Diceros bicornis minor: one gene and its partners. The protein of the gene in region 1 interacts with the protein of each later gene in a pairwise test. Links are inferred from orthologs where the notes say so. Each region holds a gene or a part of one and is shown in the gene's direction. Other genes may lie near its edges.

What was found.
Region 2: the proteins of MID2 (region 1) and CCDC42 interact in binary tests that used the Homo sapiens proteins (3 or more experiments, as listed by UniProt). The two-hybrid records come from large-scale screens. The link is inferred for Diceros bicornis minor from reciprocal best matches to the Homo sapiens genes MID2 and CCDC42.
Region 3: the proteins of MID2 (region 1) and ZNF24 interact in binary tests that used the Homo sapiens proteins (3 or more experiments, as listed by UniProt). The two-hybrid records come from large-scale screens. The link is inferred for Diceros bicornis minor from reciprocal best matches to the Homo sapiens genes MID2 and ZNF24.

The regions. Positions count from the first base shown.
Region 1 is NC_080781.1:100,494,171-100,497,916, forward strand, and holds the start of MID2 (probable E3 ubiquitin-protein ligase MID2), read left to right. Parts: upstream 1-935; 5' UTR 936-1,397; coding exon 1,398-1,401; intron 1,402-3,746. UniProt on the Homo sapiens protein: E3 ubiquitin ligase that plays a role in microtubule stabilization. Mediates the 'Lys-48'-linked polyubiquitination of LRRK2 to drive its localization to microtubules and its proteasomal degradation in neurons.
Region 2 is NC_080757.1:9,742,442-9,746,187, forward strand, and holds the start of CCDC42 (coiled-coil domain-containing protein 42), read left to right. Parts: upstream 1-1,235; coding exon 1,236-1,318; intron 1,319-1,686; coding exon 1,687-1,792; intron 1,793-2,100; coding exon 2,101-2,205; intron 2,206-3,746. UniProt on the Homo sapiens protein: Essential for male fertility. Required for sperm development.
Region 3 is NC_080755.1:29,479,586-29,483,331, reverse strand, and holds the start of ZNF24 (zinc finger protein 24), read left to right. Parts: upstream 1-1,405; 5' UTR 1,406-1,485; intron 1,486-1,706; exon of another isoform or gene 1,707-2,116; intron 2,117-3,317; 5' UTR 3,318-3,399; coding exon 3,400-3,746. UniProt on the Homo sapiens protein: Transcription factor required for myelination of differentiated oligodendrocytes. Required for the conversion of oligodendrocytes from the premyelinating to the myelinating state.

The DNA.
Region 1 (3,746 bases):
CTCCCATTTTCTCACTTTGTTCTCCTTTTACCCCATGTTAGGTAGGGACTCTCCTCTGGGGCCTCCTCCTCCTTCCCTCTCCCGGCCTCCTTGTCAGTGGGGTAGTGGTTTCTGAGCCAATGACATGTCAGTCGACAGGCTGACTCCAGACCAATGAGCGCTTCTGGGTTCCAGATGGACCAATTAGCTTATTAGGGAGGTTGAATACCTGGAGAGCTGGCATCTGGTCCATTGCCCTCTTAGTAACCACCCTCTTGTTTTGCCTATCAAGGATTTGAATGTGCACTTTGTGTACTTTGTACAGGTTTTTTGTTTGTTTGTTTTTTAAAATTTTCATGGCTTTAATCCATCCCCACAACTTCTGCCCAAGGCCAATAAAACACTGCCCTTCTCCCTTTGTAAAAAGAAAGAGGGGTTGGGTTTCCTTCAATTGTCTGCCCTTTTCTGTCTCCTCCACTATTTTTGTTTTACTCTGTAGTTAACTTTGCATAGAGCAGCTTCATCAGAGGACCTGCGCGGTGGACCTAGACACTCTCTTCTCATAGCCAGTTGCAAAGGCCTTTTCGTTGCTCTAACTTGGGGGTTTGTGGGACCAGGGGGTTGGCAGGTGGGAGAGGAGTTTGGCCATAGTCTTCTTTCTGCATTTCACACACATTCTGCGCGCTCTCTCTCTCACACACACAGGCACACACACGCCCTTTCGGGCCCCTCTCGGTGTGTCTTCCTTCAAGATGACAGGGCGCTGGAGAAAAGGCTGCTGGAATCAGCTGGTAGGTACAGTAGTAACCCGAACCCCACCCACCCGCTGCCTTTGCTTGCTCAGGTTTCTCTGGTCACTCCTGCCAGGGGAGAAAACATGTAAAGGCGCCTCCAGAGGAGGGGCTGGGGGAGCTGGGAGCGGCGGAAGGTGAGCCGGGAAGGTGGCCAAGCGCCCCTGCTGCCGGGGCCCTTCTCCGTGCTCCCTGGGGGCGCCAGCCCCAGCCCTGCTTGCCCCCACCCCACTCCACCCCCCTTTTCGTAGAGATTGCCTTTTTTTTCCCCTCTGCGGCGGCGGAAATGACAGTGTGGTGCTGCCGTGGTGTCATGGTGCTGCCCCTGGACTGAGGGGCGAAAACTCTTTAAGTTTGGCTCGGGAGAGCCAGCCGCGGTAGCGCCGCGACCGCCGTGCTGTCCCCGGCGGGCCGCGCGGGCGGGCGGATCCCGGCTGCTGCGCGGCGGCGGCGGCGGCGGCGGCGGCGGCGGCGGCGGGCGGCGGCCTAGAGCGGCGGCGGCAACGGCGGCAGCGGCGGCGGCGGCCCGGGAGCTCGGGCCGGAGCCCTAGCCCGCTCGCGGCGGAGGCAGGCGAGCGCCCGGCGCCCACGGGCGCGCCCAGGAGATGGCTGGCACCCGGGAACGCAATGGGTAAAACGCGCTCCCTCGCCGCGGTCCCGGGGGCCAAGCGCCACCGCCCGCGCAGGGCTCGGCCCTGGCCCCCGGCGCCTCTCAGGTGCCGCCGGGGCCCGGCGCGGGCCGAGGGCTCCGGGGCTCGGCGGGGCAGGGTGAGGGGGCCCGCGAGGCTCGAGGTGGCGGCAGCGGCGGGGGCTCCGGCCCGGCCCTGGCTCCCGTTGCGCCGCGGGGGCCCGGGCTCTCTTCGCTGCCCTCCTGGGACGGAGTTTGCACTCCCGGCGCGGGGCGGGGGCGGCCCGGGGCCTCCAGCGCAGCCCGGCCGGCTCCCCCGGCGCCTGGGCGCGAGTCTGGGAAAGGACACCGCCGCCTTCCCACGCTCCCGCGGCCGGCAGCCTCCTCGGCCCGGGCGGCGCCCCTCGGCAGGCCGTCTGCCCGGCGGTGGCTGCTGCAGCGGCCGGAGATGCTGCGGACACCCTGCCGGCGGGCAGGCCCAGCGAAACTTAATCCCTTTTCTGCCAGGGGAGCGATCCTCACATCCCCGCCTGGGTGGTTCCTTATTTCTGGCCTAGCTGTGAAACCAGCTCAGTGGGGGAGCGGGAAAACTTACATATGTCCATAGGACAGACTGCGACTGAATCGGGAGAGGTGGGGTTTTTCCATTCCTGGCTCATAAGAATTAAGTAAATAACGGCGGAGTAGATTTACAGAAACATTTTTGGTGATGATAAGGTTTAGGCTACTTAACACTTCGTGTGCAGCACATTATTTCTTGGAGGCGCTTTTTGGAGCAGAAAATTGGGATCCTGGGGTCGTTGGGTTCTTCATTTTCTCTCTTCCACACTCCCCTACCCGCCTTCACGCTCACTCCCCTTCTTCCTACATCGTCACACACCTACTTGTCCACCCAAATATCTCACCAGAAGCCACCTATCCCCCAGGTTTCCCCGTCAACCTGTGGACTCCCTGGCATGCAGCCTCTTGCTTCTCAACCAATTTGCTTTTTTGAGGATTTCTGAGTGTGGGGCGGGTGGATAGTGATGGTGTGTGTCTCTGAGGAGGAGCCCTTATAAAGGAATATATTAGAGACTATGTAAATAGACAAGTACTGTGTATGGGTTGATTCCTTTGATTCTCAAGTTGGGCCATAAAGGCTGCCTTTAACCCCATTCTGTTGTCTCTCGGTGCTCTAATCAGTTCTCTGGCAATGTTCCAATAGAAGGGGACTGCTTAACAGGGAGAGGCCCTCCCCTACTTCTTCTCCCTCTCCTACTTCTTCTCTACCCCAGCTGGTTGCCCCTAACCCTCACATCCCCCCTTTCATCCCTCTGCATTCATCACTGCCCTGAGGGGGGAGTAGTCTTTGCTCTTTTTATATATTCCTGCCCAATCAATTAACTTAATACAGATATATAATGTGAATTAGATTTTTCCTGATTGTTCTTCACAGCTTGATTTATGTGGTTGAAATACAGGTCTAGGAGACAAGAAGATCAGAGAGTTGGTCCCAAATCTGATGTTGCATTGGCTTTATGGCCTTAGGACATTCCTATGACCTTTCTTTCATAGTTGATGCACTTGGGTAAAAGGCATAATATTGTGTACTGGCTATTGTGCATCTTGGCTTGGTCCTTTGAAGACGAAAGGGTACTATAAACTCTCAGCATTATAGTTTTCAAAGAAAGTACTTCATTTACCTTTTATTGGGATAATAGGTTGACTGGGTGTAAGTAGGAACCCTAGTTTACTGGAAACCTTCACTTGCCGTTATTAGCCCTCATGGGAGCCAAATCCATCATTGTGCTTAGGTCCTAAGTCTGTGCTTAGGTCCTAAGTCTGTTTTTTTTTTTCCCTAAAGCACGTTACAACTGAATGAAAACATACATAAAACTAGGCATACAGAGTAATGGTGATTATTTTAAGTTGAGGCTTGAATCATATATAATATGCTCCAACCTAATAATCTGAGACTCATTGGAAAACATAACCTCACCCAATTTTAGCCTATATGGGGGCAATTAGTTAATTTCTACTGAAAAGTGGCATAAATAATTTTAGGCATGGCTGTATAAGCATGATTATCATCTAGCAGCAGTGAGTCAATAATGTTCATTAAGCGCCTACAGTATGCAGAGTCCTCTGCTGACTGGGATGAGGCCTCAGCTTTGGCCCAGTATTTTGGCCTCCTGATTGTTTGAGGCCTATCTCCTTCCTTGCAGCTCCAGGATTAGGACAGGGAGGGGCTGTGTGGGGCAGGGGTAGAGGCTAGGGACATGAAGGGGCAGTTGTTTCCCTCCCTTTCATGACTACCAGACTTCTCATCTAGCATGTTGTACCTTGCATAGCCAAGTACTACCGAAAAT
Region 2 (3,746 bases), on another chromosome or scaffold:
TCCTCCTCCGAGGCCACGATTTAGGGCGGGCTCGGGGGGCCAGTAGGGGGCGCCAGAGGACCGGCAGTGTCGCGAGGGTGGGCTTGCGGAGCTCGGGACGCCGCCCCGGCGAGGGACCCCCAGTGGCTCCCCCTCCCACACCGAGGGGACGGAGGTCGCGCGCCGCCGTGGGCCGGGGAAAGGAGAGAACAGAGGGAGCCCGGAGCCGTGCCCGGCCGCAGCGAGCTCGAGGTCACGGCCGTTACCTCCGGCCAGGACCCCAGGGCGCCCGCCTCATACACAGGGTCTCAAATTTACACGCTGGACCTCAGACCAAATGAGCTTATGCACAGTGCTCTGACAGGATCACAGAAGGCAGCCATCATACAGTAAACATGTAAAATATGTGACATTTATGGTACCATGTTTTGGCTTTTCTCCATATTTTAATATTCCGAAAATCTCAAAAAATGGCACTGGCCCTGAGTCTGTTACCCTCAATGGGGCCTCACCCTGTGCCCCCCTCCATATCCCCAGGGGGGCCTCCTTAGTGGCCAGGCTTCTTGCCTATCCTCACACACGCACACCAGTACACATCCGTCACCCACCACTTAGTTCTCAGCTTCAGGCTTCTTCCCATCCTCCCTGTCGGTGACCCGCTCCCCCCACCCCCCCAGCACTTCCCTTCCTTGGCTCCTTTTCTTCTCAGTGGTCTGTCCCAGCCCCAGCCCCCTCTCTCACCCTGATACACATAGCTGAACCCAGGAGGGAGGCCCCAGGGGCAGGACTCCCTCACAAGGCCACGCCTCTAACAAAAACCCCTTCTCAGCCCTGGACACCCAGACCCTGCCTCCTGGCCCTGGACAATAGCATCGAATCCAGCCTAACTTCTTCCCAGAGTTCCTGAGGGGTAAATGCAAGAGCAGAGAGTGGGAACCCAGCCAAAGTGGGGTCAGTGTGGACAGGGGCCAGAGGACAAAGCCTGGGTTCTATGTGTGGTCCACAGAACCAGACAACCTGTTGCTAGGTAACTAGATCTCCCATCACCTCCTGAACACATCCTCCTGAGCTGCCGCTCGTCAGCCTCCAGCCGTCTTCGCCTGAGTCTCTCAGACACCCACCCTTCTGTGGGACCTTGAAGAGCAGGAGGAAGGGAAAAGCAGGAGCTCAGCCACCACTGCAGACCCACCTGCGGCTCCACCACCCACTGTTTTCTGTGAAGATTCGGCTGCCTGGGCCAGCGGGTCACCACCACCATGAGTCTGGGTATCATGGAGGAGGAGGATCTGGCCGAGTACTTCCGGCTGCAGTATGGGGAGCGGCTGCTACAACTGCTGCAGTGAGTGTCTGAGGGTCTGGGGACCCCCCCACCCCAATGCCTGGGACCTCCCACGCCCACCCCATGCCCCACCTTCCAACCTGTCCCCTCCTACTCCTATAACCCAGAGCCCCAATCACCCTGCCCCATGGCCCTGGCACCAATCCACCCCCATCACCCAGATCCCCACCCCTTATCACCCTGCCCCAGCTTGTTCCCTGGATGCCAACACAGCCCTCTCTCCCTCTCAACATACCATTCTTTTCCTCCGATGGGGGACAGGACCCCCTTCCTTCCCCATGGGTATCTGTCTCCACGGGTTATTCCCACTCTCAGCCTGCCCCAGATGCTCAGAACCTACAGGCCCCTCTTGCCCGTGTCTTGGGCAGGAAGTTCCCCACCAGTGAGGAGCAGTGGGAGTCCCCATCCATCCAGCTGCTGGAGAAGAAAAAGGAGGCCAAGATCATGCACCAGGCTATGGAGCAGAAGAAGAAGGTGGGGGACTAGGGGATGCGGTGCAGGAAGGGCCACAGGCTCAGGGAGAGCCTGAAGACAGCCTTCCATTTTGTGGGTGCTGGTGGCTAGAGCCAGGAGTCCTGGGTGGTGGTTCTGTGTTCCCTCTGCAGAGACAGAAAAGATCCAAGCCTTGGGGGTACCAGTGTCCTAGGATGCTCTGCTTGGAATTGGGCATGGGGTAGGAAGTAGGAGGCCTGAGGATAGAAGCACTGGGCGGGGGATGCTGGGGCCTTCCTCCATATGCACGTCAGGGGCCTTTCTGACCTCTCTGCTTCCCCCACCTCAAGATATTTCAGCGCAGAATGGAAAGCTTGAACCTGTGCTGGGAGGAACTGGGCGTCAAGGAGGTCCAGCTGAAGGCCCATATCCAGAAATTTGAGCAATTCATCCAGGTAGGAGCAGGCCACAGCCTGCTGCAGCAGGCCAGGGGCACCCACACTCGTTGGTTGGGCAAATTGCCGCTCCTCCCCGCCCCCCCCCCCCACCGCCTTACTTTTGCTGACTCTTCACCGTGGGTTAGATGTCTCTTCATTGCTCAACAATGCTGGGGCTTTTCCCTTTATGTCCCCCCTTATTGCTGTTTGAATTTCCTGTTTACCTGTCAGTCTGCCCCGTCTACACTGCTGTTTACCATTTCCTTGCCTGCACCTGGTACGTACGGTTTATTCAGTGAATAAATGAATGGATGGATGGTGATGAGTGACTGAATTGCCACAGTCAAGGCTGGGCACTTGGGAATACAAATATGAATCAGACAGGGTTTTAGTCCCCCCAGCTCACCCTAGCCCTCCATCCTTGTGCTGAGGGTCCAGTCAGGGGGTGGCGGAAGGACCAGCACCAGAGTCCATTCGGAGACAGCGCCTCTCAAACGGTCCTTAGAGGAGCGATTTAGCCATTTTAAAACCCAGATTTCTCCAGACCGGCTCCAGACAGCGCTCATGGAGCCCTGAGGGCCTGGCCCAGCTCCAGCGGGGAATCGCTGGCCTCTGCCACGGGGGAGTCCTGCTCCTAAGCCTCTTCTGTCTCGCTCTGGGCCTAAACCAGGTGGGAAGGGAAGCTGAGGGACGGGGCATATTCTCCTGAGGTCCCGTCCTTGTTACTGGCCAGAGAAAAGCTCTGGGAGAGCCTGAAGACAGCCTTCAGGAGTGGAGGGGTTGGGGCGGCAGGAGATTTGGAGGTGAGGGGCTCTCCAAATGGCTACCAGAGAACCCGCGTGGTAGAATCCTGGAAAGCTGGTTCCAAATACAGACCCCCGCGGCTCTCTCTTCTCTCCTTGCTTTCAGCAGGCCTGAGGTCAAGCCGAGGCAACTGTGTTTTTAAAAAGCTCCGCAGGGGATTGTGCTGCACAGTTGGACTTGAAAACCGCTGGTTTAGTGCCCCACAGTCCTCTCCTGGGCTTGCGGGGCACAGTGCAATCCTCCCTGTGCCTTCCCCACATGCCTCCAAACGTCCTCCACACCACACACGCCCGTCCGCGTGGAATCACAGGCGCCCCTGAAGAGGGAAAGGAGCCACACAAGTGCATTGTGAGGGGTGGGTTTGCCCCTAATCTTGGCGGGGGTGGTTAGCAGAAGGGGAGTCAGCTGGATTGTAGCAGCTGAGCCTCGTGTCTTTCTGGGCATCGAATTGCCTGCACCATCTCCTCCTGCTCCAGTCTGAGCCATGGAACATGCTCTCCAGAATGGCCTTGCCCCACCAGGCCCGCTGGACCAGGTCTACCTCCTGTCTCATCTCCCTGTAGCTTGAGCACTGCTGCCCCAGGTTTTGGAAGGAAGAGGGGAGAAATTGAGGCACCAAGTACCAAATGGAGAAAATTCGGGCCTCCTTGCCCACTTGGGTGGCCCAGTGACCTCTGCCCATCCTCACGGTGGCACGAGCTCAGCAAACAGAGGCCTCGTGGGGGCACCAGCGGCCTGGGCCTCAGGGAGGGCAG
Region 3 (3,746 bases), on another chromosome or scaffold:
AAAGAGGATTAACATGGATGTTAGCTCAGGGCTGATCTTTCTCACAAAAAAAAAAAAAAAAAGAATGTAAAGCAGAGCTATCCCATCAGTTGCTGGCTCATTTATTCTCTCATTCACAAATCCATCAGAGGCTAAAGGTACTTTGTAGAGGACACTTTCCTGAATGAGGCAGAAAGCTGAAGCCTGGGCATCTTGGAACGCTTCTGGAAGGCTAGACCTGCACTTCTAACATCGACCTTAAACAACAGGGCTCTTTTGTGTGGTTTCTGATGCCTGACATGTGACCTAGCAAAGACAGCAATGTGACCAGCCCACAATTCATTCATTTATTCAACAAATATTTGTTTTCTCTATGTAACAGGCAGTCAGCAGCCTGGGATGTTGTGGTGTATAAGACAGACAAGGTCCCTGCCCTTATGGGACTTAATAGACAAAAAAAAAAAAACAGAGAAAGCAATAAATGAGATCATTTTTACTAGTGCTGTGAAGAGGGGGAAGGCTTCCAGGAAGAAAGGCAATCAGTGAGGCCAAGAATCCTGGGCCACTGTGAGCCTAAGAGCTGAAGTCAGAGGGAGGAGGCAGGCAACAGACCACAGGGGGCCTTGCCGACAGATGTAAGGAGTTTTTATGTCAGTCTTAGGGCAGTGAGGATCCATTGAAGGCCTTTAAATAGGGGAATGAAGTGGTCTGATTCATGTTTTTAAATGATCACTTCAGCAGCTGTTTTGTGGTATAAAATGCCCAGCCTGAAGTCAGAACATGACTATGCATTCTGCAAATTCCATGTGAGATCATTGCCAAAGCTCTTAACCTGTCTCATCTTGTTTCCCTGGTAGATAAATTGGTCAAAAAAAAGCTCTGCAGCATAGCCAGTGGGAACCATAAATTGGAATCATGCCTTGGCTTCACATCTTGCTCTCCACTTTCATTAGTTATGAGGTCTCGGCAAGTTATTTACTTGTGCCTCAATTATCTCAGCTGTGAAGTGGGAATAATAAAAGTTCCTACATCACAGGGTTGTTGTGAAAATTAATGACAATACATGTAAATAAAGCACGGTGACAGTGCCTGGCACAACGTAGTAAGCATTTATAAATATCAGCTTTTGTTACTACTTTCAGAGGATGACTGTGAGGGGATCACATGAGATAATGCACGTGAAAGGGTTTGTGAAACCATGAAGACTATCTTAATGGCAGAATTCTCTCTTTCTTTTCCTTGCCTTTTAAGCGGAACAAAGTACACTGGACTATCCGAGGAGAGAGGCGCGAGGCCAAGCGCAGCCTCAAAGCGGTCATTGTCGTCGGGCCGCCCCTCCCCCGCCCAGAGCGCATCTCCATGGCAACGCGGGGCTTCGCCTCCGCCCGCCTCCTGGGGCCCGCAGACCGGAAGCAGTCCGCGCCGGGGGCTTCTGGGAAACGGCTTGTGAGCGGCGTTTCTGCGTCTGCCGTGGACAGCGAAGCTGCTGCGGACCCTGAGCAGGAGGTTTGCGCCAGGGTGGGGGAAGGGCGTGAGGGGGACGCTGGGCTAGGGGCTGCGGCCCGCTTGGCGGGAGCCAGCAAAGAAGCCTGGCGGGACCTTCCTCGGCTCCCTGAGAGGCGCAGACAGGCCACGGTCTCCGCTCTCAGCAGTTGCAGGGCGGAGAGGGGTAGACGGAAGACCAGATCGGACTTTCGGCATCCTCGGAGAGTCCTCCATCCCGTGTGTCCTCCCTCGTCCTCGCCTTTCCCCTCCCCCACCGGTGGTTTTGTTCTATTTCGAGGCCCTGGCCTCTCGCGGAGGGTTCTGGGACTCGTTTCGGGCGGAGGTGGGAGGGGGCGGTCCTTGCGCGGGGCTTGCCGGGACTTGTAGTTCCCCCGGCCGCGGGCGGAAGTGCTGTGGCTCCGACGCCGTTGAGGCAGGGTGCCTTTGGTCGTCTGAAATCAGCCGCCGCGAGTGCCTGGAAGAGGGGCTGGAGGTCGTCGGGGCGGGGGCGGGCCTCGCAGCTGCGCTTTGCGGGAGTGAGGTGGGGTGATCTCCTGGCACCTCCTTCACGTCCCTCGAGCAAGCTGCCGAAAGAAATATAAAGGGAAGAGGAGAAATTTCTCTTCTATGGAATACTTGAGCCGTTGATAAGGTAGGGTCGAATAGGAACGAACGAATCTGTTGGCTGAACCGTATTTATGAGGCCACCACACTCCAAAGTATTTAATTAAACCTGTATGTTTTACCTGTCCTTTTCTGATTTCTAGTCTTGATAGGGTTACCAGAAGTTTTTTTTGAAATTACTGGTCTTCAGATTCTGGGCCCGGAATAGCTACATAATGGCTCATTCCTAATATGTGTTGTAAACAATAGCACGGGCATGACTGTGCAAATACTAAGGAAAGGAAGAAATAGCACAAGGTTTCCCTTCAGGTAGAAGCTGGGAAGACTGTGAGTCATCCAGTATAAGGACGAGATTCTGGGCCGCTGCAAAAAGTTAAGGTGTTAGGAGAGTGCCTTTTTTTCATAGAATTTGCTGTGATTAATGCCTGTCATTATAAATTTAAATGTAATTATGGTATGGTGGGTGACTGAATAATATTTGTATTTTATGGCACCTAGTGGTTAATTTTTTTCAATATTGTGCTGTTATTGAGCAAGTGAATTTTTTTAGCATATATTTCAAGTCCAGGGAGTTCATAAACATTTTAAAAATATTTCTTAACTCTTAAAAAAAACATTTTGTTAAAAGGAATTTTTTGTAAGCGGATAAAAAAAGCAGTGCCTGCTTTTGAGTTGACATAAATGTCTCAGGCAACACCCGTCCTGAATTGGAAATAATGTGTCCTAGGGTCAAATGCATTTAGAAAACATTGAGTTGGGCTGGTTCTTACTTGAATTCCTTTTATTATTGAAATAGGGTTTGTTGATTTTGTAGGTCATAGATTGGCAAACTTTTTCTCTAAAGGGCCAGATAATAAATATTAGGTTTTTCAGGCCATATTATGTCTGTCACAGCTACTGAACTCTGCCATTGTAGCATAAACTGTGAACAAATAAATTATTTGTGGACACAGACATTTTAATTTCATATTTTCACATCATGAAGTATTCTTTTGATTTTTTTCAACCATATAAAAATGTGAAAACTATTGTTGTTACAAGCGTTGCACGAATATGGGCAGTGGGCCAGATTTGGCCGTGAGCTCTAGTTTGCCAACTTCTGGTGTAGGTTATTAATTGGAATTTATAATCTGGTAAAAAAACAAATATTTTTACTTCCTTTATCAGTATATGTACAAATACTTAGGATATTTGGACATTTATTTTTTTTTTATTTCTTGTGTCTCAAGAGTGCTTGTGAAGAAAACGGAGTATTTCCCTGAGGCCTGTATCCTGCCTTGATTGTCTTTCCTTGAAGTATTATAAATCAGGATGTCTGCACAGTCAGTGGAAGAAGATTCAATACTTATCATCCCAACTCCAGATGAAGAGGAAAAAATTCTGAGAGTGAAGTTGGAAGAGGATCCCGATGGGGAAGAGGGATCAAGTATCCCCTGGAACCATCTGCCTGACCCAGAAGTTTTCCGACAGCGATTCAGGCAGTTTGGATACCAGGATTCACCTGGGCCCCGTGAAGCTGTGAGCCAGCTTCGAGAACTTTGCCGTCTATGGCTCAGGCCAGAGACACACACAAAAGAACAAATCTTGGAGCTGGTGGTGCTCGAGCAGTTTGTTGCCATCCTACCCAAGGAGCTACAGACTTGGGTTCGAGAGCATCA